Linked DNA regions of Alligator mississippiensis. Each later gene encodes a partner of the first gene's protein in a complex. Links are inferred from orthologs where the notes say so. Each region holds a gene or a part of one and is shown in the gene's direction. Other genes may lie near its edges. The genes, in order: TMEM67 and MKS1.

Evidence for each region.
Region 2: TMEM67 (region 1) and MKS1 share a complex: the UniProt entries of both Homo sapiens proteins name them as parts of the tectonic-like complex. The link is inferred for Alligator mississippiensis from reciprocal best matches to the Homo sapiens genes TMEM67 and MKS1.

What each region holds. Positions count from the first base shown.
Region 1 is NC_081826.1:43,989,742-44,004,473, reverse strand, and holds the start of TMEM67 (meckelin), read left to right. Parts: upstream 1-6,986; 5' UTR 6,987-7,038; coding exon 7,039-7,228; intron 7,229-14,732. Other genes in the region: RBM12B (RNA-binding protein 12B), read right to left, coding at 1,584-3,698. UniProt on the Homo sapiens protein: Required for ciliary structure and function. Part of the tectonic-like complex which is required for tissue-specific ciliogenesis and may regulate ciliary membrane composition.
Region 2 is NC_081837.1:29,519,991-29,535,015, reverse strand, and holds the start of MKS1 (tectonic-like complex member MKS1), read left to right. Parts: upstream 1-8,169; 5' UTR 8,170-8,182; coding exon of another isoform or gene 8,183-8,199; coding exon 8,200-8,279; intron 8,280-8,375; coding exon 8,376-8,492; intron 8,493-10,446; coding exon of another isoform or gene 10,447-10,450; coding exon 10,451-10,511; intron 10,512-10,545; exon of another isoform or gene 10,546-11,695; intron 11,696-12,602; coding exon 12,603-12,758; intron 12,759-12,771; exon of another isoform or gene 12,772-12,892; intron 12,893-13,311; coding exon 13,312-13,409; intron 13,410-13,646; coding exon 13,647-13,775; intron 13,776-14,106; coding exon 14,107-14,211; intron 14,212-15,025. UniProt on the Homo sapiens protein: Component of the tectonic-like complex, a complex localized at the transition zone of primary cilia and acting as a barrier that prevents diffusion of transmembrane proteins between the cilia and plasma membranes.

The sequences.
Region 1 (14,732 bases):
AGAAATGGAGAAATGGCACAGCGGAACCGCAGAGCTGTGCAACTGAGAAAGTGGGGACCAAGTGCCTCAGCCAGTGCCCACTGCTCCCAGAAGAGCCTAGGCATGCTCATTTCTGCTTCGTAGAATGCTGGTCCTTGTTTGTCAGGGAGCCTGCTGGCACTTGAGGTCACAGCTCATCCAGTGTGCTGGGAGGTCAGTGACTCAATCCACAGCTGAGGGAATCAGCACTGGAGTGTTGAGAGGTGTTGCTTTGACCCAAATTAAAGCAGCAGGGGCAGGAGTGGCAGTTACTGCTGCACAAACTGTTTGACCTTCCAGATAAAGACTTGTGCCCTGGGACAGTCTCTCTCAAACTGGGTGGGCACTCTCTCACCCCACCATGGGTCCCCCCCTCCACCTGCTGTGATGCAGCTCACCACAGAACATCCCTCTTTTCTGCCCCACCCTGTGCATTTCTCTACACATCTTCCACAACACCCAAGCTGCCTGCTGTGTAACCAGCCCTCCCAATCTCTGAAAAGGTTGGCCCAAGACAGACCACAGGGTGGAGGGGACCTGGGGCTTGTGCCCCTCCTCATCCCCTCCATTTACACCAGTGGGACCTTCCATCAGGCCAAGCTGCAGCATGGCACTCCCTACTACTACAGTGAGTTCCCTGTCTAGTCTGTATAGCATCCCCTGGAAACGAGTTTCCTGGAACAGTTCCACCTGGCAGCAGCACTGTATCACCCTCAAAAAGGTCTTGCAGCACCCCGCCTGAGAACCACCAGCGTAAGCAAGATAATTAGACAAGTGATTTTTGCTCTTTAGATATCCCTAAATCCCAATACTAGATTCAAGTATGGATAAGAAACATTAAGATGACCCAACTTTAAGATGATTTCTGAATCTAGCTCAGCAGCAAACATATCTGGCTCCCATGACCAACTTAAGTGAATTTGAGATGGGTAAGTGTAAAAAAGCTTAAACAAGTAATCCAAAAAGTCAGTTGCAAATTATTTTATTAAAAAGTTGTAAGGCTGGCTAACTTGAACACGAAACTATTTGAGGTACCTGTGACCACAGGAAAACAAAAAAGACTAAGTGTGCACATAAGGAATTTGTTCATCTTTACAATTTATCCTAAATATGTAGGTTTGATAAAAATGCAAGGTAATTTGTTAATGAAGATGACATTAAAGTTACCCAATTTGAACGGTCTCTTATGTCAGTTAGCCAGCACTTATATTTTCATAAGATATAAAGAATCATGGGACCGTGAAATGAAGCACACTAAAAATCTTCAAAAGCATTACAGCTCCAAGATTTTATCTTGGTATTAAAAGTCAATCAACAGTTCAGTAAGATTACTAGGCTCTCCCCCACCACAGAAGGAAGTTAACCTAATACAGTGCTAAGATGTCTTACCTTACAAACATCAATTTGAACCAAAAACTATAAATGGAAAATTGAACCTGACACTATTTACAACTTCCTTTTTTTATGGAAATAGTTTCTTCTGCTTCTTCCAATAACAGAATTGTCAGTAAGAATCCATCAATACTGTGAAGTCTAGGTTTTTTCATTTTAGAGGCAATTAACCTTTAGAGTAAACTGAGCCTAACTTTGCGTGGGCCAATTGGTCTATCATTTAGTTCCTTAATAGCCGCCATTGCTTCCTCATAATTTGTCATGGCAACAATGGCATCACCTGAAGGTAATCCTTGTTCATTATATTGTATAGTAACAGACTCTGGAATGACTCTGTAGCCATAGAAGAAATCCAAAATTTCATTAGGGGTGGCTTTAAAAGGTAAATTCTTTAACTGGATAGGTACTCCATGATCAGAACCACCACCAAAACTTGGATCAAACATAAATCTTCCCTCTGGATAGCCCCCCATGTTCCTGTTTCCAAATTCCATTCTCCCAAAGTGTTTGCCATCACCACCGTAGTCCATGAAATGTTGGGGACCTCTAAAATCCTCAGGGGGACACATGAAATCGTCAGGCGGGCGTCTAAAATCAGGACCCTGCCTAAAGCTCCCAGGAGGACCAAATGAATGCTGAGGTGGTCCTTGTGGTGGTCCAGATGATGAGCCAACTGCACGAGAATGCTCACTTCTGTCATATGCCTGTGAATGACCGTGTATCTTTTCACCTGGTGCTGATGTTGGAATAGTTATACCAAATTCCTGCATCTGTTCTTCAGATATACGTCTCAGTAACACTTCTGTTCCCAAGAATCTTCGCCGATTTAAACTTTCTGCTTTCATTGCCTGTTCTTCAGATTTAAACTTCACTAATGCTTCCCCCAGCCCAACTCCCTTGTCATCGTAGAGCAAGTAAATATCATCTTCATCAATAGCAAATCCTGCGAAGAACTTCTGCACTTCAACTTTTGTCACATCAAATGGAAAATTTCTTATATAGATGCACATTTTAGGGCCAGCATGCCCCTCTCGGTAACCTTTTTCCAGTACGGTCTGCCCAGGCCGATCTCTTTCTTGTGATCTTTTCTTTTCATAAGATTCAATTAGTTTCAACATCGATCTTTTAGAAATAGGAAAGATGTACACAGCACGGTTGAAAAGAACCATCCTATGAAATCCCAAAGCTGCTTGATAATCTCTTTCACTCTTTAACATCACAAGAGCATCTCTAGTTCTCCTTTGATATTTGTCTGTTAAAAACTTGATTTGGTTACTACATATATCCAGCTCTCCGAAGAAAGCTCTCAAATCTCTCTTCTCAAGATTTGTAGACAGATTTCTTAAGTGTATCCAATAATCCTGGCTATGAGGCGAATGTGACCGTGACCGTGTTCGTGTTCTTTGTCTCCTTGGAGGAGATCTTGAATGAGAATGCTTCCTTGAATGTATATAATTTGAACTTCTCACTGGAGAATGCTCTTTACTTAAAAAGGGATCCATTTCCATCTCAATCTCAATCTCATTCTTCATGCTAGCCCTATCACAGTATTTGATCCATTGCTCTGGGGCTGGACTTATTTCTATAAATCTTGAGCCAATGTATTGTTTATTACGCTTAAGTCCTTCCAAAGCATCCTTAGGTGTAGCAAATTTTACTACGCTATTTCCGTTATTCAGACCATTGCGACGCTTTATGAAGATCACTTCATCCACTCGTAACCCAGAAAAGAAAACACGTACTTCTTCTTCAGTTGCAAAGTACGGTAAACCTCTCAGAAATAAATAAAGGTTACCTGAAAGCAACTCTTTCCTCGACTGGTTATAGTTTGCTATGCTTGAATCACCATGTCTTGTACCATTGCTATGAAAGCCAGCATCTGTGTGATTTGATGGACTTTTACTCATTCCTTTTGTAATAGCCGCAACTAAATGTGAAATGTTGCCGACGCTCGAGGCACCAGAATTACTAAGACTTGTTCGTCTAGACCCAGATGTGGTTTCTCTTCTTCCACGATCAAACCTTTTCCGGCTCATTTCTATAGTATTCTGCATTTCCGTTTTGCTGCTGAGAAACAGTTCTATGCGGGAGTCCTTGATAAAGCTTCCTGAACAGCTCATGGCACGTCGTGCATCTTCATCTGTTGCAAAAATAATAAAAGCCTCCCCAGTTTCTCCTCCAATAATATGCACTCCTCCATCAGGAATATTCAATCCCAAGAAGAAACGGCGAATATCTGCAGGGCCCGCAACAACAGGAAGCCCCTGTAAACGGATGACTACAGCCATGCTGCGCTCAACTCACAGCAAAATCACCTGCAGACAAAAAGGTACACATGATAGCAAGTCTTTAGTACTCATCTATCGCAGTATCTAAGCTCTTAAACTAACACCTTTTTAATGAAAATCCCTGATTCAATCAAGCTTTATGAAATCAAGCAAGAAGCTCACAAGTTCACCACAATCATTGAATCCTGTTTTAATCTTGAAGTAGATTTAGTCAAAACCATTAGCTATTCCACCTGGAAGTATGCACAATCTGTCAATATTCCCTATCTAAAGGCAACAAGATCCACATGAGTCAACTCCTCACCATCCACGATAAATAAGGACCATCTCAAGTCTTTCTTGGCATGGCTGCTACTTGTCAGAGATGCTAAGAACCAAAGTCTTCTCTTTGTGTTAGAGGCACTTGCTATCACAGCACTGAAAAAACTGAAAATAAAAGATGAGGGGAAAAAAGAAGAAAAAAAAAACCCCTACATCACCAAAAAAGCATTTCAGTGACTGTAACGAATGTTATGCTCTCAGACAAGTTGTCTACCAACTAACCAGTTCTGCTTACAAATGCGTATATATAACAAACAATGCAACAACGTTGTCTCTCTTCTTGCAGCAGCCAAATGCATTCAGGAAAGCATTTCCTATTTCCCAGTCATAAAGTCTGTGAGAAATGGCTTTGCGTGGTCTTTTGACAATACTGAGCGAGAAATGTTAGCCTTTAGGCAGCTTACCTGGTTCTGCTTGGAAGACCTGATAAATTCTGTAAAATCAACTTAACTGTGGAAAGAAAATGAGACATAATTAATGGCTGATATCACATCTGGTTAAAATACTGTGCCACATTGCTATTGTACATCCATATCAATAGCTAATATTAACAGCCAAGCACTGTAATGAAACCACGATTTGGGTTGTTATGGAGAGGATTCCTTCCTTGTTCCAAGAGAAATACAAGTCAGACAATGTAATTCAGCAAAATGTTATGCCTTGCACTTTTGCCTGTGAATCCATTTAGAAGTAAAATATTCAAAGGTAAAGTTGCTTCTGCAAATGATGAAAACATGCCAAGATTAATGGGTCATCAATTGTGCCACACTGAACTGTTCACAGGAAACAATGGCCAATAAGGTAAAAGGAAAAACCTCTTCGTTTAGTCCTTGAAAGATGCATAAGTCCCACTGAAGATTACATTAAATGTCCAATTCTTCTGAAATCCACCTGCTTTTGAAGTGCGTGACAGAATATGCTACTCACCACCATGGTATTCTTGAAGACACATAATGAAGAAAACCATAAGACAGAGCAAAAAAATTCAACAAGCAGAAATTCCGGAGAGTACAGGAAGTTACAAATTAAACTCATTTGTATTTCCCCCCAAATACCTACTGTCCTTCAATCACAGAACCAAAAACACTACCTTGAGAATCTTAGACTTATCCTGGTCTTTAAACAATTCCTATAGCATGAAAGCCATAGACTACATAGCATATTCCCCTACAGAAACAAGGTAAACCTATGCATGGAATTACCATCATATCATTAGCAATAATAAACTCTGGCTGACAACTGTTTAAGCATACAACATTATGCAGCAAGACTTGCAACAGACCAGGGAAGAGACAGATCTGCACAGCCACCTCATAACCAGAACAGCCCATTGCTTCACCTGAATTAGCACAAAAAATAAAACCAAAAACGTTTCTGTAACTGGCAAATCCAGTGCCAATTTCTAAATTTGTTACATCCTTGTTTTGGAAAAACAGCTACAAGCTAAAACAACTGCATGTCTGAAAATCACACTTCTAGATAAAGAGCTTCCCACATCTGTACAGCTATCTTCTCAATCGATAAAATGGCAACGCCAACATGCAAGGGAAGAATTCAACAGGAAAGCCAATTTTCCCAACAAACCTTCGACTCGAAGTCAAATCCGTATGCCTGCATTTCATTTGGTGGTCTGTAGTATGTCAGCAGTTTTCTACTTCCCTTCTGCATTCCCATACCAATTATTACCCAATATTCTGTCTTCACCCCAGAATCAGCGACGTTTCTGTGACGATAACTATCAAGATCCCTGCGATACATCCCAGGCCTAACATACAGCTACTATTCTTTAAACCAGACAAAGATCACAACAGTAGTGAAACTGAAGTTGTCCCACAGATAAAAAAAGAGCCAAGTGCAGCCAATGAACTTCCACTAGCCGTCCATCCATGCAACCAGCAGCTGCAAGTGCATGCAAGGCAACAAGTGCTTTAAAGGAACGACCCAACAAAGCTACAGGTAGCTTAGAAAGCTTTTTTCTTTAAATACCTATGAACAGATCAACACTTGAGCAAAGCCTTCAAAGGAGGAGGTTGAGAGAGACCGAGCAGGAAGGGTTTTGTGAAACCCTAGGTAGCCACCGGCTCCAAGCCTAAAACCCTGCGTAGCTCAAGCTCCATTTCTGATGCCACTTCACAACGCAGGCAGCGATCTCCTCGCACGGGAACGGGGCCCGGCCCACAGTGCCACAGCCGGGCCGCCCATCCTTCTCCTTTCCGCAGCAGGCCGCCAGGACGGAGCCCCACACAGGAGCCAGCGGGGGACGCAGCGAAGCACCAGCGCCCGGGGCTGGTGTGAGAAGTGGCCGACGCCGAAGCAGGAGGTCCCTTTCCCGCAGCGCGACAGCCGCGCGCTCCTGCTGCCCGAGGCTCCCGGCTCCCGTGCGCAGCCATTGGGCTCCCGCCGCCCCCGTCCTCCGCTCCTCGGCCCGCTCGGGCCGGCTGGCGGCGCATCCCGCGTTCCCGCCCGGGCCGAGAGCCGGCGCTGGGGCCGGCGGGGAGAACAGGCCGCTCCCGCCCTCCCCCGCCTCTGGCCCTCTGCAAGCGTGGGGCGGCCGGTCGCCGAGGAACCCCGCCCCGCCCCCCTCCGAGCCAGCAGGCGACGCGGCCCAGCGCGAGCAGCCGCCTCCCGCCGCCGTACACACCGGTGCCCACTACACAGGCGCGAGGAACCGTCCCCTCACTCAGCGCCCAAGTCAGGCAGCAACAAGATGGCGCCGCCCCACACCTCGCCGCATCGCGCAGGCGCGACCCCCTCCCCTTTGACCTTCCCGCCAACAGACGCGCGAGCCTCCAACCGCTTCCCGCTAGGAGGAGGCGCGTACGGCTTGCGTTGCGTCACTTCCGGTGCTAACTGCGCGTGCGTGCTAGGTTCAGGTTTCACTACGCATAGGCGGGTTGCATCCCGGACGCGCGCAGGCGGCCTATAGGGAGCCGTGATTGCTACAGACGGCGCGCATGCGCTCCGCAGCGACGTCTGGCTACGGACCTCCCCCACCCCCGCCAGCGGGATCCCGGTCGCCATGGCGACGGCTGGGCGTTGGGCCGCCGTCGCGCTGCTGCTGCCGCTGCTGCTGGGCGCGGGGCCCTCGGCCGGGCACAGCTTCTCCCTGCCCCTGCGGCGGCCCCGCGACTGCGGCGAGCCGCGCTACTTCGACACCGCCAGCCTGGCGTGCGGGGCGTGCGGGCCGCACCAGCGGGGCAGCGCCTCGGGTGAGCGGTGAGGTGCAAGGCGTCGCCCCGCCCGCGCCCTCTGCTCAGGGGAGCTGCCGTGCGGCTGCCGGCCCCGGCCCCTGAGCGCGTCGGGGGAGCCCTGGAGATGAGACTTCTCTGGGGCGCCGCGGCTTCGAGCTGCTGGAGAGGGGAGAACAGGTCCTGCCCGGGAGGGCGCCGTAGCGGCACGGCGTTGCCGGGTCTTAAATATGAAATGATCCTATTGGAAGCTCAAAATTATTGTATTGGCTGAAAAACGATTGTATGCTGAAAATATGCACATAAGTATGTAAATAAGTCTTAGCCAGGCAGCGAGCAAGAACTGGGTCATCAACGCTGAAGCATTTCTTTATTTTGAGGCAAGCAGTTGTAAGCAGGGATCCTGTGGGAAAACGGAGAAAACAACGGATTTTCCCCTTTACCGGTGGAAAACATGGATCTCTCATGTTTATCAGAGAAACCTGAAGATTTTGCAGTTTTGCGAAGAGCGCTCTGCAGGTGGGCTGGGGCGGGTGGGAGGAGGGCGGTCAGGCAGGGGGCAGCGTGTGCGTGTGTGCGCACATAGTTGCTGGGCAGCCTGGAGAGCAGCTCCTAGGTGTAGGTGCAGGGTTGGGGGAATAGAGGCCTCCCATAGGGAGGGCAGGGCTGGTGCTGCTGTCCCAGCCGGGCAGTGCATGGGGCGTGTGGCCCTGGGCTGCAGTGTGTGGCCACAGGGCCTTGGTGGGGAGTAGCATGAGGCCACAGCTTGTCTGGCGGGTGAGCAGAGTAAGGCCAGCTCCTGCCGCTACGCACACTCCCAGGAAACAGGGAGGACCTGTGCCCCCCTTCCCCCCCCCCCCCCCCGATATATATGCAGGGTGGGTGCAGGCTGCACACTGCAGGGTCAGGCTCCCACCTTGCTGCCCTTCCCTGGAGCATCTGCAGCCCGACAGGTGCGAACCAGTGGTTCAGGGAACGGCAGGGCCATGCAGGGATCTCTTTGTTGCTGCGAGATCCGCGCTGCCCTAGTGACATGCCCTCTGCGCAAGGCAGCAGCAGGGGCAGCACCATGGCGTTGTGCCCCTCGCTGCTGCCGCATGCGCTGGGGATGCATTGCCAGGGCTGGGTGGGGCTGTGGGGGTGGCAGTGATTGGCACAAGCAGGGCCGGGGGACCGTGGAAGGAATGAGGGGCACCAGCAGGATTGGGGGGACAAGTGGCCTTTCATTTCAATCGCAGATTTTCCAGGGTGTTTTATCAGAGAAATTGCAATTTTTTTGTTTATTTATTTATTTCTTAAATCAGGGAAAACCAGGATCCTTGGTCATAAGGAAGTGCTGGCAGCAAACCCTAAAGTCAGTTGAAACTCCCTGAGAGTGACTTGGGTTTAGAATTTGCTGCATCAATTAGCTGCCTCAAAAATTATCATACATTTTGAAGACTTCTGCTGTTATAGATCGTACAAGGGTTGAAATTATCGTACAAATATGATAATTATACTCTTGGCAACAATGAGCAGGTGGCCCACAGCGACAGCATAGCCTCCATCTATGTGCAGTTGGGAGAGCAGAATAGGCAGGCACTGAGTAGGGATGGATTAATCTGGGGGCAGGGGGACAATGATTCGGGCTGGAGGGCTCTTTAGGGAGTTTTGGTGAGGTGCTGGAGGGGAGGGGAGGCAGTTGATCCTGTCCAGCCTGGCGTCCACCCTGCACCCTGTGCTGGGGGTGCCAGATAATGTGAGCAGGCAGGCAAGGTCTCCATGGAGACCATTCATTGCACTGCGTTGGACAAATGGGAGGGCACCACAGGTGGGTGGGGAGTAGTGTCGTGGAGAGGGAAGGGTGGGCAGGGCACAAGGCAGAGCCATGACCCAGTCCCTGCACATCCCTGCGATGAGGAACAGGGACATGCAGGGAGCAGATCACAGTTCTGCCCCTGACCCCACACTGTCACTGCCCTGTGATCCCAGCCCTAGCCCTGCCTGCTGATCCTGCTCCTAGACTCTGCTTCCTGCCTGCCTGCAGCCCCATCCCATCCACCCAGCTGAGCATAGCCTGCTTGTGGGGGGTCCCAGGCTGATCTCCATGGAGACCCCGCCCAGCTGCTCCATCCACCATCCCTGGCAGTGGATGCACCAGGGTGCCCAGGTAGTGGGGCTGGGTCCACCAGTGGTGACAGCAGCAGAGATGCAGGCAGCAGCAGCCTGCCATGGAGGCTGCCAGGAAATCAAGTCTGGCTTCTGTTCTGCCACTGCCCTGCCATGTGTGCCTGGGCTGGCTCCTGGGCTAGCAGGGCCAAGGAACCTGCCACAGGCTGGATAGAATCCTTTGGGCTGGATCTGGCCTGTGGCCTGTATTTTGCTAGATGACCTCAAGTCCCTTCCAGCACTGAGAAGCTATGGTTCTATGACCCTGGAAACTTTGTTGTATTATTTTTATGTAACAGTCTAGGGCAGTGGTGTTCAACATTTTTCCCTGTGGGAGCTCATGGGCAATGCCTGGTCTGCTGCTCCTGGATAGTAGTTCCTATCCAGCTCCCAGGGGCAGACACCACTGGTCCAGGAGGAGGGGACAGATTGCAGCCGAGCTCAAGCTTGGTTCTGCAGAAAGGGGAAAGAGGCTTCATGGGAGGGCATGGTTTGGTCCTGCAGGGGGAGGGGGCGTGACCCAGCCCCACCTGGGAAAAGTGGGGGCCATGGCTCAGCCCTGTGAGGGAAAGGAGTATGATTGGGGAGGCATGATCAGCCCCAGTCTGGCCCTGCGGGGGGGAAGGGGAGTGTGGGAAGGGGGAAGGAGGCATGGTCCAGGCTGCAGGGATGGTGGTGGCCTGGCTTCGACCAGGCTTGGGGATTTGGCATATTAATGGCTACTGCTTCCCCTCTGACAAATTTTCCATTTGGTGAGGAGCCCCACAGGCCAGATGCAATGGCTGCTTGGGCTGCAGGTTGAGCACTCCTGATCTAACTTCAATGATTTGAAGTTAGATCAAGACAAAACGTAAGGTGTTTGTTGTGGGAGACTCCCTCCTGAGGGGGACGGAGGGGCCAATCTGCCACCCCAACCCCTTAGCCCGGCAAGTCTGCTGCTTCCCAGGGGCCTGCATCCGGGACATTGCGGAGAGGATCCCCAAGCTCCTCAAACCCACAGACCACTATCCCATGCTCCTTATTCATGTGGGCACCAGTGACACGGCTCGGAGCACTCCCAGCCAGGTCATGAGGCGCTACAGGGATTTGGGAGCGGGGCTTAAGGGTCTGGGGTCACAGGTGGTGTTCTCGTCGATCCTCCCAGTCTCAGGCTATGGGCTGAGAAGGGACAGGACGATCTATGTGGTCAACCAAAGACTGCGGCACTGGTGTCGTCAGGAAGGCTTTGGCTTTCATGACCACAGCCCGCTCTTTGGCGAGAGAGGCAGCGAGCTGCTGGGAAGAGATGGTCTCCACCTCTCTCCTCTAGGGAGGAGGCTCTTCTCAGCCAGACTGGCTGACCTGCTCCACCGGGCTTTAAACTAAGCCCGCTGGGGGACGGGGGGACTACCGCCACTGCTGGCCCGCTGAGCAATCCTTGCAAAGCCAGCGGATCACAGCACTCAAGGGAGCCCACCCCAGCCCCAGCCCTGGTAAAATCTGTGGGCAAGGAAGGAGCCCCCCAGGGGGCACTTGTCTGCCTGTACACTAATGCCAGGAGCTTGAGGAATAAGCAGGAGGAGCTCATCCTCCTGCTCAGTGCAAACAATTACGATGTCATAGGGATAACGGAGACCTGGTGGGACTCCACCCATGACTGGACCACAGGGATAGATGGCTATACCCTGTACAGGAGGGATCGTGTAGAGAAAAGGGGCGGGGGTGTAGTTCTCTATGTTAAGAAAAGCTACGCGTCCCTGCAAGCCGATATTGGCGACCAGGGTGGACGGCTGGAGACCCTCTGGGTTAAAATCCGTGGGGAACACGGCACAGGGGACACAATGGTGGGAGTCTATTACAGACCTCCCACCCAAAGTCCTGAGCTAGACCAGGAGTTTGCCCAGGAACTGGCTGAGGCAGCTTGCTCCAGGACCATGGTTGTCATGGGTGACTTCAATTACCCAGACATCTCGTGGGAGAATCGCTCAGCAAAATCTGAGCGGTCACAAAGCTTCCTCTCGTGCGTGGATGACCTCTACCTGACTCAAGAAGTCTATGGGCCAACGAGAGGCAAAGCGCTGCTCGACCTGGTGCTGGCTACTGGGGATGACCTAGTTGGCAACCTAGTGATCGATGGGAAGCTGGGTGACAGCGACCACGAGCTGATCACCTTCACCATCCGCCGAAAAGCTGGCAAGTCAGTCAGCAACACGGAAGTCCTTGACTTAAGGAAAGCCGACTTTGACAAGCTCAGGAGGCTTGTCAGTGAGGCCCTAAGGGACTGTGACCACAGGGAGAGGGGAGTTCAAGAAGAGTGGTTACTCCTCAAGGGAGCGATCCTCAATGCACAAACTAAGTCTATTCCATCTCAGAGGAAAGGCAGCAAGAGGGCACAGCAGCCCCCCTGGCTCTCCAGGGACCTAGCAGACCTCCTGAGGCTAAAAAGAAAGGCCTACAAAGGATGGAGGATGGGAGTCACCTCCAAGGAGGATTATTCTGCACTGGTCCGGTCCTGTAGGGAGCAGACCAGGAAAGCCAAGGCTGCAACTGAACTCCAGCTAGCTTTGAGCATCAAGGACAATAAAAAGTCCTTTTTCAGATATGTGGGGAGCCGGAGGAAAAGCAGGGGCAACGTTGGACCCCTGCTAAACCAGATGGGGCAACTGACAACTGACGCCCAGGAAAAAGCCAACCTATTAAATAGGTACTTTGCGTCGGTCTTTCATCAGCCCCATGGGACGCCCGTGCCTGCTACTGGGCAAAAAGTCCAGGTGAGGGTGATCCCCTGCCCTCCATTAATGCTGACTTTGTGAAGGAACATCTTGAGAAGCTGGATACCTTCAAGTCAGCCGGCCCTGACAATCTTCACCCCAGGGTACTCAAGGAGCTGGCGAGCATCATAGCCCAGCCTCTAGCGCGGATCTTTGAAAACTCTTGGCGCTCTGGTGTAGTGCCCGAAGACTGGAAGAAGGCCAATGTGGTGCCTATCTTCAAGAAAGGGAGGAAAGTGGATCCGGCTAACTATAGGCCCATCAGCCTGACTTCTATCCCGGGGAAGATCTTAGAAAAGTTTATTAAGGAGGCCATCTTTAATGGACTGGCCGACGCCAACATCTTAAGGGATAGCCAGCACGGGTTTGTTGTGGGTAGGTCTTGCTTGACCAATCTCATTTCCTTCTACGACCAGGTGACCTATCACCTGGACAAGGGAGATGAGATTGATGTCATATATCTTGACTTCAAAAAAGCCTTCGATCTGGTGTCCCATGATCGTCTCTTGGAGAAACTGGCCAATTGTCGCCTTGGGTCCTCCACGATCCACTGGCTGGAAAATTGGCTCTGGGGTCGGACCCAGAGGGTAGTAATTGATGGAAGTCACTCATCCTGGTGTCCTGTGACCAGTGGGGTCCCCCAGGGCTCTGTCCTTGGACCCATACTGTTCAACATCTTCATTAATGATGTGGACACGGGAGTCAGAAGCGGACTGGCCAAGTTCGCTGATGACACCAAACTTTGGGGCAAAGCATCCACACCAGAAGACAGGCGGATGATCCAGGCTGACCTGGACAGGCTCAGCAAGTGGGCGGATGAGAATCTGATGGTGTTCAACGCCGATAAATGCAAGGTTCTCCACCTTGGGAAAAAAAACCCGCAGCATCCTTATAGGCTCGGCAGTGCTATGTTGGCTAGCACTATGCAAGAAAGAGACTTGGGGGTCATCATTGACCACAAGATGAACATGAGCCTGCAGTGCGATGCTGCGGCTAGTAAAGCGACCAGAACGCTGGCTTGCATCCATAGATGCTTCTCAAGCAAATCCCGGGACGTCATTCTCCCCCTGTACTCAGCCTTAGTGAGGCCGCAGCTGGAGTACTGCGTCCAGTTTTGGGCTCCACAATTCAAAAAGGATGTGGAGAAGCTTGAGAGAGTCCAGAGAAGAGCCACGCGCATGATCAGAGGTCAGGGAAGCAGACCCTACGATGACAGGCTGAGAGCCCTGGGGCTCTTTAGCCTGGAAAAGCACAGGCTCAGGGGTGATCTGATGGCCACCTACAAGTTTATCAGGGGTGACCACCAGTATCTGGGGGAACGTTTGTTCACCAAAGCACCCCAAGGGATGACGAGGTCGAATGGTCACAAACTACTACAAGATCGTTTCAGGCTGGACATAAGGAAGAATTTCTTTACTGTCCGAGCCCCCAAGGTCTGGAACAGCCTGCCACCGGAGGTTGTTCAAGCGCCTTCATTGAACACCTTCAGGATGAAACTGGATGCTTATCTTGCTGGGATCCTATGCCCCAGCTGACTTCCTGCCCTTTGGGCGGGGGGCTGGACTCGATGATCTTCCGAGGTTCCTTCCAGCCCTAATGTCTATGAAATCTATGAAATTTGTAATATGTTTCCCATCCTGTTGTAACAACGGCCCTGTTTGTAGACCTATGTTTTTGGTGTTTCTGGTTAGCATTTCTTTTTAAATAGTTTTAAACTTTAAATTTACATTTGTATTCTTAGGACATAGTGTTCCCAATACAATAGTGCAATATATTAATCTTCAATCAATAGGAAGCAGGGAAGAGAGGAATTTTTAAAAAGTACATGATTTTGATGAATAGCATGATTTTGATGAACAGCTGAGTAGGAATTATTTTAGGGTGGTCATAACTTTGACTACTACTCTTTCCAAAAAAATTACTGCTGATCAGGAGTTTGAGAGTATTTTAGTGTCTTGGAAGCTTACATATTTTGATGAGTTTTTATGTTCTTAATGAAGTCCAGCATTATGCAATATGTTTAAAACTTTTAGAATAAATTCTATCCAGAATTATGCATATATATTATAAATAATATTGTTAGACCCTGACTCCATGCGGCGCCCAACAACTAGGGAGATGATGATCCAATTGTTTAGAGAGCAAACACCAACACACATTCCTAGCAACAGCTTTATTCAAAATGGAGACAGCTTCAGGCGAGATCCCAAAAAAACTGGGGAGCAGCCACGAACATTAGTTCTTTCTACATTTATACACCTTGGTTCATACTCATTAACATTTACTCCACCTTTGTCCCTCCTTTGTTCCACCCATATTCCCTCCTATCTTAAGCTCTGCCTCTGTTTACTGTTTACTTCCTTAGCATGGAATTGCCTATGCATTTCACTTATTTGCTATGAACGCGTGCCTAAAACCATGACCTCAGGTTCTTTCGGTCACTTGCCGTTTCTTGCTGTTTTCTTCACCATCTCCAAGGTCTTGCTTCTGCTTTATCTCCTATCAATAATTGGTGGGCTGCATCCTGTTCTCCTTACACAATGAGCAATATGTCCTACACACTACCACGTTGTTAGGAAAATGCTTGCCTAAGCGTCTTGCAATGTTACTTTTAATATATTATTCTG
Region 2 (15,025 bases), on another chromosome or scaffold:
TATTTTTCTAATCTAGTCTGACCTTGTATCTCCTTATTAAGGTTAATGCATTAAATATTTGGTATTTTTTTGTGACGACGTTACCAAAGTAGGTATTGACTATTTCAGCTTTCTTTGTTTTATCTGTCACTTGGTCCTCTTCCCCATTAAGCTGGCTTTGCTCTGGGAGATTCTCCAAGCCCTTATCAAGATGTCCTTCACCAAAATGCCACCAGCTGATGTACTAATTACAACTAACAAGGTGGAAGGGAGAAGCGGTTAAAAGGCTGAATTAAGGTTGTATGCGTACCATTTATTTAATACTGAATCCCTTTCTAATAACATTTTTGTAGTGTGATAATTAACCTTGAAAGTCAAAGTCTGTTTGAAAAGCCAAGAGGATCCTTATATTTAAACCAATGGGTGCACTTTTTGTCCTTGATCTAGGCTGGTGATAAGTTATGATGATTCAACTACAGTGTGTCACCAACACGCATTTTTCACTTGGTCAGGAGATGCGTATGCTTGGGGCTATGGAGGCGAGGGGGGAAGGACACCTGTGGGGGATAAGGTGGCTTCTGTGTTCAGTGAGTGTCTAGGAAAACTAGGGAAAGGAAACTGGATGATCTCAGTTTCCCTCAGCCCATGAGGTCCTCATAAAATTTGTCCTTAATCACATCTGGGTTGGCCATGGTGGGTACGAAGTGCTGATGATAGTGGTACATCTTTGCCCAGACAGTGGGAGTCTCATTCGCATAGGTGTGTCATTCACTCCCTTTGGGACATTTGTAAGCTTGCTGGCTAGTAGTGTTTTGATGGCAAAACCCAACACCAGCTTCACATCAGACATCACTCTTCTTTACTATGGCCACTCCAGAAGAATGTGTAGCTGGTTCTTTTTTCAGTAAGACGTAGCTTCTTTAGCTAGGCGAGTTTCACACAGGGCTGGTATCTCAATGTTGAATCTGGCCAGTTCTCTACCAACTAGAGCTGTTCTCTCTGGTCTATCTGCTGTTGTAGAGTCCATTAGTGTATGCACATTCCAAGCACCGATGGTGAGTGGTGTAATCTTTGTCTTTTTCTTTTTGTGTGATTTTTTGACCAGTGTAGTGTGATCCCCATCAATTGCGGTATGCTGACCAAGGTTAAGGTGAAGCAGACAATGTGGCAGCTGAGTGGAGCTGAGGAGGGTCACCACTCACCCCACCCCTGGGCTCCTGTTTAGCCCAGCCCCTAGGGAGCAGTAGGGGAAGAGGAGGGGGCGCTTACCTGCCCCCTTCTCTGGCGGGACAGGCATTCCCTGTCCCTGAGAACAGCATGGTGCTAGCAGGCTTATTGCGCATGCGCAGGGTTTAAAAGGCCGCGCCAATGAAAAAAACCCTCAATCAAGACCCAGCTCCAGAGCGAGATGCACAAGTGAGAGCCTGTCATGCCCCCATAAGCTCGGGTCCTAGTAGACCCCCAACCAGACCCCAGAGCAAGATGGGAAGTGAGTGAGGCCCACAGTGGATGGGCACTAGCCAGTGAGGCAGCTGAGTGGAGCCAAGGAGGGTCACACCCATGCTCAACAACTCCTACTTAGCCCAGTCCCTAGGGAGTCACGCAAACAGGCATGCTCTGGGCCTGATACGCAAGTTAGCATGAGAGTTCGTGCAGGAGGGTGAGCAGGAGGGGCACAAGGCTCTAGACAGTGATTCTGAAGAGAAGGGTCAGTGCAGCAGTAGCCCAGGCTGCTACCTGTACGATGGTGGTGATATGCTGCACCCTGAATATCCCTGCCCCTGCAGCTGGAGCCCCCCCCATACCACTGAGGCCTCTACCCAGACGGAGCCCATGGCTCCAGCCTCCACCCAGATAGAGCCCCTGGCTCTTGGCTGTGGGGGCTGCCTGGCACATGGATCAGGAGCAATGACATCTCCCCTTGGGGGGTGTGCTCCACATTAGAGTCCCTGGAGTGCCAGATAGCGGAGCTCCAGGCTGCAGTGCCTAGGCTGCGTGCCATCAGGGATGGCGAAGAGGTGATTGATGCCTACCACCAGGCTCTTTGCCTGAAGAATGAGGGAAGAGTACGGAAGGCTAGCAGCTGCATTGATGAACTCTACTTGTCTCAAGAAGTCTACAGGCCAACAAGAGGTAAGGCACTCCTGGATCTGGTACTGGGCAAAGGGGATGAGCTAGTGAGTGACCTGAGAATCAAAGGGAAGCTGGGAGGCAGTGATTGTGAGCTGATCACTTTCTCTATCCATTGCAAAACTGGAAAATCAGTCAGCAGTGCAGAAATCCTCGATTTTAGGAAAGCCGACTTTCATAAGCTCAGGAGGCTGGTTGCTGAAGCCCTGAGGAACCAGAGGGGAGTCCACAATAAGTGGTCGCTTCTTAAGGATGTGATCCTTGACACACAAGGGAAGTCCATCCCAGCCCGTAGGAAAGGTAGCAAAAGGGCTGGGTGACCCCTGTGGCTCAATATGGGACTCATGGACTTCCTGTATCTGAAAAGAGAAGCCTACAAGGGTTGGAAATCAGGTAACATCGCCAAGGAGGATTATTCAGCACTGGCCCGCACCTGTAGGGAGCAAACTAGGAAAGCCAAGACTGAAACTGAACTCAGATTGGGTATGGGAATCAAGGACAATAAAAAGACCTCCTTCAGATACATGGGTAGTCAGAAGAAAAACAAGGGCAACACTGGACCCTCGCTAAACCAAATGGGGCAGCTGACATCTGACACCCGTGAAAAAGCTAATCTCCTTAATGATTACTGTGTGTTGGTTTTCCACCAGCCCAAGTGGATCACCCTGCCAAACAAGATGCAGGATTGCCAGGGTATGGGTGAACACACATCCATCATTGGTGAAGATCTTGTGAAGGAACACCTTGAGAGGCTGGATATCCACAAATCAACTGGCCCAGGTAGAATGCTCCCAAGAGTGCTAAAAGAACTGGCGGACATCATAGTGCAGTCAATGGCAAGGATATCTGAGAATTTGTGGCGCTTGGGTAAGGTTCCTGAGGATTGGAAGAGGGCCAATGTGGTATCCATCTTCAAGAAAGGGAGGAAGGAAGATCTAGAGAACGACAGGCCAATCAGTTTGACCTCAATCCCTGGAAAGATATTGGAAAAAAAATCATCAAAGAAACCATTAACAACAGGCTAATGGAATGCAACATTCTGAAAGACAGCCAACGTGGCTTCGCTGTAGGTAGGTCTTGCCTGACCAACCTCATTTCCTTCTATGACCAGGTGACACATCATCTGGACAAAAGAGAAGAGTTTGATATTATTTACTTGGACTTCAAAAAAAGTCTTTGACTCAGTCTCCCATGAAGTTCTCGTGGTTAAACTGGGGAACTGAAGCCTTGACAACCTCATGATCTGATGGCTCGGGAAGTGGCTCTGTGGTTGTACCCAGAGGGTGATAGTGGATGGAACCATGTCAACATGGCGCATGGTAACTAACGGTGTCCCCCAGGCCTCTGTACTTGGACCAGTACTCTTTAACATGTTTATAAATGATTTAGGTTCAGGTATCAGAAGCAGACTGGCTAAATTCGCTGATGACACCAACCTATGGGGAAGCGTGGTCACACTAGAGGATAGACTGGCGATTCAGGCTGACCTGGACAGGGTTGCAAGGTGGGCGGATCAAAACATGATGGCATTCAACACTGAGAAGTGCAAGGTGCTCCATTCCAGGGGAAAAAAATCCACATCATACTTATAGGCTCAGCAGTGCTACACTCACTAGCACCACGACCAAAAGGGACTTGGGGGTCATGATTGACCACAAGATGAACATAAGCCACCAATGTGATGCCGCAGCTGGCAAGGCAAACAAAACCCTGGTTTGCATCTATCGATGCAACTCAAGCAAGACCCAGGAAGTCATCCTCCTGCTATACTCGGCCTTGGTGAGGCCACAGGTGAAATACTGCATCCAGTTCTGGGCTCCTCACTTTAGGAAGGATGTGGAGAAGCTTGAGAGTGTCCAGAGAAAAGCCATGTGCATGATCAGAGGGCAAGAGAACAAGTCTTATGATGAGAGGCTGAGAGGCACGGGACTCTTCAGCCTGGAGAAATGAAGGCCCAGGAGGGACTTGGTGGCAGCCTATAAGTATATAAGGGGTGTGCATGAGGAACTGGGAGAAAATCTGTTCACCAGAGTGCCCCAAGAGAAGATAAGGTCTAATGGTCACAAACTCCAGGAAGACCATTTTAGGTTGGACATAAGAAAAAACTTCTGTACCATCCAAGTCCCCAGAGTCTGGAATAGACACCCCCCCCCAGAAGTGGTGAAAGCACCTACTCTGGACACCTTTAAGACCCACTTGCATGCTTGTCTTGCTGGGATCATTTGACCCCAGTAGACTTCCTGCCCCTTGGGCAGGGGGCTGGACCTGATGATCTTGTGAGGTCCCTTCCAGCCCTAATGTCTATGAAATGTTTAGGGCATCTTTTCTAGCCCCTTCTTCATACTACAGAGGTGAGCAGTGTGAACCTAAATAGGGCTGCCCAGTCGCCCAGGGGGCTGCTGAATTCCACTGCTGCTTTGGTCCAGTGAGAAGTGATCATGTGCCCTGAACTGCCTGTGTACAGGTCTGCAACTACAGCTCCCAGTGTATCCACACCTGCTGTTTTGCTGCTCGCCCATCGCCACAGGACTTGAGTGTGTCTATGGGAGATGACGATGATGTTATGAATTGTGTGCAAGTTGGATTTAAGTGAGGGAAAGTTGTGCAGAGTCACCCACACTCTTTTGTCCAGGCCTGTCTGAATCCAGTGGCATGACATTAGGTGAGTCAAGACATCTGGAGACAAGTCTGGATGCAGTAGATGGCCATCAGCTCCTATTGCACCTGAACTGATGCCCTACACTTTCCATACAGCTCTTGACAGATCTGCCTTCACAGACAGGGAGATGAGCATATCTGCTTGACCACCTGATCCACCAGAAAAGACTTTCCAGAGGGAGCCAGGTATAGCTGTCTACTCTAGTTAATAATCTGGCCCTGCCTTTACTTTTATTTCGGGGTCAGTTCCTCTAATCTTTACCCACCAGGGGGTAACCCACAAGGCAGTGGGGGCTGGGGTTTTAGGTAGACGTGCACTGATACATTGGTCCATACCGTATTGGCACTGATAAAAGGAAAATTGACATTATCCGCAATCAGCTCTTTTTGGCTGATGCAGCTGATATTACCAATAAATGCTGTGTGTATGTGCACAGCCACAGCATGCATGCAGCCAGGAATGCAGCCTGGCAGCTTGGAGAGCAGCACCCAGCCGGTAAGTATGTGGGGGGGAAGGAGCATGGGGTGGGTAGGGGTGTGCGTGTGCGGGGGGACAATTGAGGCCACCAGTGAGGGAGGGAGTGGGACTGGGGCAGGTGCTGCCCAGCTGGGGTGGGGTGGGGCACAGGGTGAAGCCACAGGCAACTTGTCTGGGGTGGGGAGCTCCCGCTGTTGTGTGCACCCCTGGGGGGAGGCATGTGCCGCCACAATTTGCATGGGGCAAAAGTGGGCCAGGGGCTGCACTGGGCTCTTTCCAGAATGGGTACTGAGCCAGGGCTGTGCCTGGGGCAGGGGAGGGTGGGGTGGGTGACTGTGGCTCTGGGAGGGAGAGCTACTGAGGAGGCTATGGTGAATTTTGGGGTGGCTGTAGCCCACCCCATTGCTACCCGCCTCCTAGTGCTACTGTTGCCACCTGCCCAGCCCCTGCTATAAAGACGCTTGTGCAGCCCCTAGCCCCAAACCTACAGTGAGCAGCCTGCCTTCACCCCCACGCACAAATCCGGAGAGACACATGCCCCCCATACCTCTCTCGGTGTGCACACAGTGCCAGGAGCTGCTCCCCCTCCCCACCCTCGGCGCCCCCTGGATGTGCTGCTGGCTCCATCCCACGCCCTGCCTTGGCTGGGCAGTGCCTACCCTTGCTCCTGCCCCAGTCCCACTCCCTCCCTCACCGTGGGGGCCTCGATCTGCCCCCCACGCTCCTTCTCTCTCTCAGTCCCTTCCCCCCCACAATCTTACCAGCCGGACGCTGCTCTCCAAGCTGCCAGGCTGCGTATTGGCAATTGGATCGGTATCGGCCGATATGGCTGGCTAATAATGAGCTATCAGTATCAGCCAAAAAATGTTTATCGGTGCAGCCCTAGTTTTAGAGTTCCCCAGACTTGCCCTTCCTCGGGCCTTGGCCCTGGCAGCACTTTCTAGGGGCTGCTCCAGCACGAGCAGTCCCACCGCAGTGACCCCAAACCCCGATCGGGTGCAGTTTTCAGTCATACCCAGGACTATCAATATATTCATCTAATAATGAACCAATGCAGAAGAAAAGCAAACTGTTTTCTACACCTACAGGTATTAAGCCCAGTCCGGACGCTAGTGGTTGCTGGGTTAAGGGCTCCATTTATGAAGCAGACAGGCTGTGAAAACAATACACATGCAAACTGTTATTGGGCTGGCCATGAAGAAACTAAGATGCACTCAAATCAATGCTGCATGTTGATTTGACCAGCCAAGATTTGATACCAGCCAAGAGTGCGAGGAGTCATGCACTGCATTCAGCAGCTGCAAGTCATAGACATTAGGGCTGGAAGAGACCCTGAAGCATCATGGAGTCCAGCCCCCTGCCCCAGGGGCAGGAAGTCAGCAGGGATCATAGGATCCCAGCAAGATAAACATCCAAATGTGTCTTGAAGGCATTCAAAGTGGGTGCTTGAACCACCTCCGGCGGCAGTCTATTCCAAACCTTCGGGGCTCAGACAGTAAAGAAGTTCTTCCTTATGTTCAGCCTGAAACGGTCATGGAGGAGTTTGTGACCATTCGATCTTGTCATCCCTTGGGGTGCTCTGGTGAACAGACGTTCACCCAGATCCTGGTGAGGACCCCTGATAAGCTTATAGGTGGCCACCAGATCACCCCTGAGCCTGTGCTTTTCCAGGCTGAAGAGTCCCATAGCTCTCAGCCTCTCATCGTAAGGTCTGTTTTCCTAACCTCTGATCATGCGCGGGGCTCTCCTCTGCACCCTCTCAAGCTTCTCCACATCCTTTTTGAATTGTGGAGCCCAAAACTGGACGCAGTACTCCAGCTGCGGCCTCACCAAGGCTGAGTACAACGAGAGAATGACGTCCTGGGATTTGCTTGAGAAGCATCTATGGATGCAAGCCAGCGTTTTGCTCGCTTTACTAGCTGCAGCATCACATTGAAGGCTCATGTTCATCTTGTGGTCAATCATGATCCCCAAGTCCCTTTCATCTGTAGTGCTAACCAGCATAGCACTGCCGAGCCTATAAGGATGCTGCAGGTTTTTCCTCCCAAGGTGGAGAACCTTGCATTTTTCGGTGTTGAACACCATCAGGTTCTCATCCGCCCGTTTCATGAGCCTGTCAAGATCTGCCTGGATCACTCTCCTGTCCTCAGGTATGGATGCTTTACCCCAGAGTTTGGTGCCATCGGTGAACTTGGTCAGTCTGCTTCTGACTCCAGTGTCCACATCATTGATGAAGATGTTAAAAAGTACAGGCCCTAGGACAGAGCCTTGAGGGACCTCACTGATCACCGCACACCACGACGATTGACTTCCGTCAACCACCACCCTCTGGGTCCTGCCGCGGAGCCAACTCCCCAGCCAGCGGATCGTGGTGAGGTCAAGGCCACAGTTGGCCAGTTTTGCCAAGAGGTGATCATGGGATACCAGATCGAAGGCTTTTTTAAAGTCAAGATATACAACATCAATCTCTTCCCCTTGTCCAGGTGATAGGTCACCTGGTTGTAAAAGGGAATGAGATTGGTCAAGCACGACCTACCGGCAGCAAACCCGTGCTGGGGATCCCTCAGGATGCTGCTGTCAGCTAGTCTCTGGCTTTTTCCCGTGCGTCGGTTGTCAGTTGTCCCATCTGGTTCAGCAGGGGTCCAGTGTTGCCCTTGCTGTTCCTCCGGCTCCCCGCAGATCTGAAAAAGGACTTACCGTCCTTGATGCTAGTAGCCAGCTGCAGTTGGCTCGCCTGCACGACTGGGCTTTTAATCTGCCGCTTGCCTTGGTGGGTGTGCGGATGGCACCCCGGTGCAGCCAGGCGACATCCGTGCGCGCCTCCCGCGGCGCTGTGGGGGCGGAGGCCCCTTCCCCCGCGGCGCTCAGGCTGGAGCCCGGGGCGGGGCGGGGCGGGGCGGGCGCTGGGCCGCAGACGGGGCGGCGCCCGCCGTCTCCATGGTTGCGGCGGGGCCATGGCGGAGCCGGCCTGGAGCACGGACACGGGCGGCGCCGTCTACCGCTCCCGCGACCCCGTGCGCAACCTGCGCCTCCGGTGAGGGCCCGCCCCCCTTCCCCGTCCCCGACCCCGTCCCCGTCCCCGTCCCGCCGGCCGCGGGCTCACCGCTCCGTGCCCTCGTGCCCCCGCCAGGGTGCGGCTCCAGCGCGTCACGTCCACCGGCCTCCTCCTGCAGCAGCTGCCGCGCTCCGCCGGCCCGCCGGGGAAGCAGCTCCTGGGCCCGGCCACCCCCAGCACCGCGGCAAGTAGGTGGCGTCGTCCCCCCGCAGAGACCTCCTCAGAGCCGGCCGCCCCAGCCACGTCTCCCCGGGAGCCTCAGGGCCTGGCGCCCTGCAACCCCCGGGGCCTCTCCGGGCTGAGCGGGGCCTCTGCCGGCTTGTCCTAGCCTCTGCTTTTGCCCCTGGCAGTCCAGCAGTGCGGTGACACCCGGGTCCTGGCCATGGATGTGGTGCTGCAGCACCCACTTCTCCCCCCCACACTGGGTCCGTGCTGGGCAGATGTTAGGAGCCAGGTTTCTACAGCCAGATTGACCCGGTATGGGGGGGATGTTAGGACTCAGCTGCTCCTGCTGCTTTTCCCAGTGACTGCGCAAGGAAAACACCTGGCGCTGCTGTTTCCCCCTCTGCTCGCAGCACGTTCCCCCGCAGCCGTGGGCCCTTCAGCAGCTGTTTTCCCCTGCTGTCTTTTTTTTTTTTTTAATTGTGTTCTGAGCCAAATCACGTCCAAATCCATGAGTCGGGCCCGAACCATATGTGGCTCTACAACCAGCGAACATCCTCCACCTGCCGGGGCTTTAGATCCTTCCCATGTCTTTTGGCGGGCATCAGCCTGGAGGCTTGGGGTTTGGATGCCCCCAAGTTTCGCTTGCCTGCAACCATGTGGTGACAGGAGCAAGCTGGGGAGGAGCCTCCCATTTCCATAAAATAGGCATTAAGCCCCAACACCTCGGTGGGTACTAAACCGCGCCAGAAGAACAGTTATCCCTGGGAGGGCTTAAGGAAAACTGCCTTCTTGGACCCAGATACATGGCGTTTCCGCTGCCAGGTAAGTTTTCCCGTGCTGTCATGGGGATGAGCACCAGCTATAGACCACAGAGAAAAGCAGCAGTGGTGGGTGCTTTCCCGGCCTAGCTGCTGCAGAAAGCACTAGTGACAGCAGCTGGATCCTCACGCCTGCCCACGGTGCACAAGCCCACCTCTGACCTGAACTGGGTCGGTCTGGCTTGCAACCTGAAAAGGTTTCGCCCTCCCCAGGCCATCAAATGTTTCCTCCCAACTAAGGCAGGTCTTGCCTCTCTTGGGTTCCTCTGGAGCAATAGGTGGGTTTGAGATTCAAACTGAAGTCTTTCAAGCCAGGGTGATGCAAGTGCAACCAGCCTAAGGGGCTGTCTCTTTGGGGCTGTCTTCACGAGGAAAAGCAGTTGTGTTAACGAGGGTGTCGTGTACTTACTGTTAGACATAGGACTGTTCAACTCATGGGGCTCTTTTTCTTTCCTGCAAACGAAAAGCAATTCCTCCCTATCGTCTAGTTTTATTTCTAAACTCAGAGACCCACAGAAAGCAAATGATGTCCACAGGGAAAAGCAAATTCCTTGGAATATTTGTCAAGGGTTCCCAAGTACCTCTATAGTATGGACCATGTCTTAATCCTCCATTGGACACTTTCCCTTGCATTTAGTCCACTCTGTTTACTATCACCTAACATGCCAGTGGCAGCTACAACCGCTTACATGTAAAAATGATATGATAAGGACTTGATGCATTTGTAGTTTCTTTAATGTGGTATTAGAGCTGGAAAATATACAGAAAAGTGTCCAGCCTGGTAATTTGTCTAGATCAGGGGTTGGCAACCTATGACTTGCAGGCTGAATCGGGCCTGCAGAGCCATTGAATTCAGCCTGTGGACATGAGGCTTTGGTGGTTGACGGGGCTTCAGCTGCGAGTACTCTTCCCATGCCACCATAGAGAGAAGCACCGGAAGCCTTGCTTGGATCTGAACGTAAGCTTCTTGCTCTCTAGGTATAAGTGCTTTGGGAATTCAAAATGTGGCAGTGTGGCTACCTTGTGAGTTCCAGATGCTGCCCGTAAAACCAAACAGAATGGAGAAGAAATGTTCAAAGGGCTCTCTTTGCTCACAGTTCTGAAGCAGGGTCAGAGGGTCAAGTGAGATATGAAACAGTGGTCTGACACCTCTTATCTTCTAGGTAGCTGTCTTGATGATGAGGAAGAAGAGGCAGTGATTGGATGGCAGGAGAAACTCTTCAGTCAGGTGAGCCAGTGGAAGAGTGGGAGGACCTTGCCAGCAGGAGCCTCTGGCATCTTCTTCAAATGGCGAAGAGGAATAGAGGTTCCTGTGACTCCCAGTTGTGCTGCTGCAGTTTAGAAGGGGTGGCTACTCTCTGATCTCTTGTGTGGTCAGTACCAAATTAGAGAACAGGAACAAGCAGAACTGGTTTCTGATGTACTTCTCGGAGGCTTTTCAATAATATTTTCTCCCAGTGTGTGTGTGTAAACAACAAAAGTACAGCTTGATTTCTGTGAAATATTTTCAGGGCGGAGGTCTGAATCTGTGTGTAAAGCACAGCCTTAATGTTTCCTTCTTAATCTCACAAGAATTGGCCATCTTAATTTTTGCATAGTTAGTTTCTATGAAACTTCCTTAGATGTTGACCAAATGGTAATGCATCAGCCTTTTTTTCACAAATATGGTTCTCCTATAGATAGGGGCTTTTTGTCTCCAGTTGAAACATGGCTGTGACCTAAATTTTCACCATTTTTTTGATGGAGCTATCCAATTTAATACTACAAAGAATCTGTGTACTTCATTTGATTACAGCCACTAAAGCACTAAATCAACCTTAGCTCAGTCCTGCATGCATGTATTTGAGCAGCTTTATTCAGCCAAGTAATTCCATCAGAAGGAATGGAACTCCCTGCATGAGTAAATGTATTGACATCTGTCTCCAGGATCAGGCCACAAGTTAATGCAGTAATAATTAGAAATGACAGGATCAAACTACAACAGACAAAATGGAAGATGAATACAGAACACCACTTCCATGCAGCAGAGGGGTTTATCATTTTGTGGAATTGCCTCCCCAGGAGAGAAGTGAAGATCCTGTTGCTTGAAACCTGCTTAAAATGAAATCACATGATGGGCTTTGTAAGAATGAATGTGTGGTTGGGCTAAAGGTCAGAAATGCAAGTTAAAAGATACCAAGAGTTTTGTTTCTATCTGTCCCAATAACTCTGTGTGACTTCAGGTGAGCCATGCTTCCTCTTTTACAGGTAGGGGAACTTGGGCACAAAGTGGCTCAAGTCACTTTCAGGCAGTGGTATTGTGAGAAGAAAATGGGCCATACCTAGAAGCACCTTGGAACCCTGTGGGTGATGTCAGTGCAGGAGTACCTCAAGCCTTGGGGAATGGCCTAGTTGAGACCTAAAGAACTAAGGGTAGGGCTAAAACAGGGGTGGGAAAAATACAGTATGGCCTGTATCTGGTCTGCCAATTGATTCTGTCTGGCCTGTGGCACCATCAGAGGCCAGAGCCGGAGCTGTCCTCTGTCCATGGGCCAGATAGAATCAATGAATCAATTGGCAGGCCCACAGGTGGGGTGGGGGTCTCTGGCTTCTGCTGATGTGACAGGGGATGCTGGGCTGAAGCAGCCCCACCTGCCTGGCACTGCACGGCAGCTAGGAGATGGAGTCCAATCCCATGGTGTTGTGTGGGCAGGGCTGCTTCTGCTCAGTGTCTCCTGTAACACCAGAGGCCCGCGCAGTGATGGGGGTAGGGGAGGGGGGGAACTGAGTCTCTGTCCTGGCTTCCTCCAAGCTGGGGTTTGCACAGCGAGCCGGGGAGGGGGGAGAGGGAAGACTAAGAGTTGGGGGTGTTCCCCACCCCCTTGCAGCTGGGCTCTGTGGGGCTGCAAATGCCACAGCCCTGCCCCTCGCACAGCTTGACTCTTAGCCCCCTTCCTACCTGCTGGCAGCCAAGCTGGGCAGCACAGGGGCAGAGAGCATGGAGGAGCAGAGATAAGATGCTACAGACCCAGGTGGGCTCATGCTCCCACTCTTGCTGCTATTCTGGTGCCAGACTTGGCCTGGCTTTGAGGAGTTCACGTGTGTGTGTGCGCACGCGTGTGCACATAGGTGCTCATGCAGCCTTCAACAGCTCACTGAAATTCATTCAGTGGTTCTCCAGCCCAAATAATTGTCCACCCCGGGCTAAAAACTGGGCTTTACAAAGGCACTTAACTTGCTGTGGCTTCTTTAAAAAATCTCAGCCGTGAGGCTTTTCCTGGTTCTAATCTCTGCTATCCATGTTATGCCAAAATCTCTGTTTTTACTGTGCCATTCCTAGTTTGAGGTGGATCTGTATCAAAATGAGTCAGCCTGTCAGTCTCCCCTGGATCGGCAGTATCACCAGGAGATCCTGAAGCTGGAGAAGACAGGAGGCCGGAAAAACTACCGCATCTTCACCTACACAGACCATGACCGATTCACCAACCTGGAGGAGGTACCTGTTGTTAATCATGCCTAATTTGTTGCCGCCAGTCATCTCTCTCAACATGGCCAGGTCCTGCATCAACTGAACCCAAGGACTCTGAGAGGACAGCTTTTTAGGGCAGTAGAACACACTGCTTCTGCAAGGTACTCCCACCTACTGCCCCAATTCTGCCTCTTTCTGAGTGCTGCACAATGAAAGCCAAGAGGAAGCTGTCAAAATGGTGGATGACTTAGCAAGGTAGAGCTTCAAATGTGCCAAGTTAAAAGAATGGAGGATGAACTCTGCAGTCACCTGACAGCTGACAGCTGGGCTATTTTCTGTGCTGTGCTGTTCACAGGGGAGATCCAAGGCTTTTCAGGCTTTCTGTGCCCTAGAGCAGCTGAGAGGAGCATGCATGTGTGTCTGTATTTACATGTAATTGCCTGCGTTCTTGCTATGGCCTTTGGAGCTCAGAAGGGAGAAGGGCAAATCTTCTGGCATTAAATGGTTCTGCCTTTCTCATGGGAAAGAGAACCTGTTCCTGTGTAGGAATAACAGTTTCACTTCCTGCCTTCTCTTCTAGCACTGTCAGAAAATGACCAACTCAGACTATGAGGTGACATCACATCTGGCAGAAAGGATGGCCAATGTGAGGAGGAGAAGACAGGACCGCAGGCCTATGTGAGTACAAAGAATGACTCAGAACAAACTGAGAGTGGATTCCAGCACTGGTGCCCATCTGGGTCTGGCTTCTCCATCCAGAGCCTGGTGTTGTGCCTTCTCATGCTGGATCCCAGGTTGTGCATCTCACCATGTACACTGTTGTCTGTACTCAGCTAGTTTGTACTGGTGTCATGATGTGTTTTATAGAGTGGCTTGGCGAGTGTGCATAATAGCATTTTGTGGTATCCTTGGCAGGGAGGGGAGCACTCTGAAGTCACGAATCATCACCTGGGAGCCCTCGGAAGAATTTATTAAGAATAACCATGTCATCAACACCCCTGTTCAGACCATGTATATTATGGCAGACTTGGGAGCGTATGGAAAGTAAGGAAATGCTCAGAGTGAGTTGGTCTGCTGGATGTGAACCTCTATTCTTCCCCTCTTTATCAAAGCTCCGACCCCTTACACAAGTTGGCAGAAGGGGATCGAGGGACTCCCAAGAGCTTCAGCAATACCAGCTGTTGTTTCCTCCTACTTGTTATCTCTGTGGGAGGCATTGTACATGTTTTCCTTCCCTCCTCCTCCTATCTTTCTGATGAGTAGGGATACAGATGGGTCTGAACCCCCTCTGCCCTATGTACACATGTAAGCTGTCATTCCAGAGGTCTGCTGGCTCTATTCAGACTCCATTGCTGTTTCTTGGTCTCTGTCCCAGGCTTGGCCGCAGGGAGTATGAACATGTTCTTTGCACAATCAAGGTGGACAGCAATGGGGTGATCACAGTGAAGCCAGATTTCACAGGCACCAAAGGTGCTTACAGGTGAGCTGGGCAGGACTAACTGCATGACGAGGGACTGAAATTACTTTTCATGGGTCACCTTTCATACTGTGAAAGGGGATGTCTAGTTCGGAGATCCTGCAACCTAACACTTTGCTAGGAAGCATGATCTGAGATGCCTGCAGAATAATATCATGGTTCTGCCTGGTGTCATCTTGTCATTGTGCCTGTTTGTTGAGGCTCTTGAATAGGCAGCTCACTACCCAGGTAGGTAAGAAAGATGTATTTATATGGAGTGCTGTCACATAGGGCATTATGTCCCTTTTCAAGGGGAAGGGGAAAGCTCTTCCTTGGGACTCCCACAAGAAGCAGGCTTATTTGGTCTTCCTCTCCTGTAAATAGTTCTTGTAAATAGTTTCTTAAGTAGGACATATGTCATTTTCACTCCAGGGGCATGTGGCAGTCTAGGCCTGACAGCAGGCCACAGAGACTACTCTAAGTTTGGTTTCCCATGATCCGTTGTATTGAGTGAGGTTGTCCCCAGGTTAAGGCTATAGTTTTGTAACTGGTTTGCTGCAAGTGTGGCTGACTGGGCCAGAGGAGAATGAGCCAGGCTGTGAGACAGCCAGGGTGGGAAAGAAGGTCTAGAGTGGACTGGGATAAGGTCCCAGGGTGGACCAAGAGTAAAGGAATAGTCCAAGTGAGGACAAAGGGAACTGGAATGGCACAATAAATACCATTTGTTTTGGACCAGAGTCTGTGGTGCTATGGGACAATCGGCACTCTGATATCCATCTTAAAAAGAAGAAAACACTCTCTCTTCTTCCCAGGAGCTGACTGATAAGAAGGAGCTCCA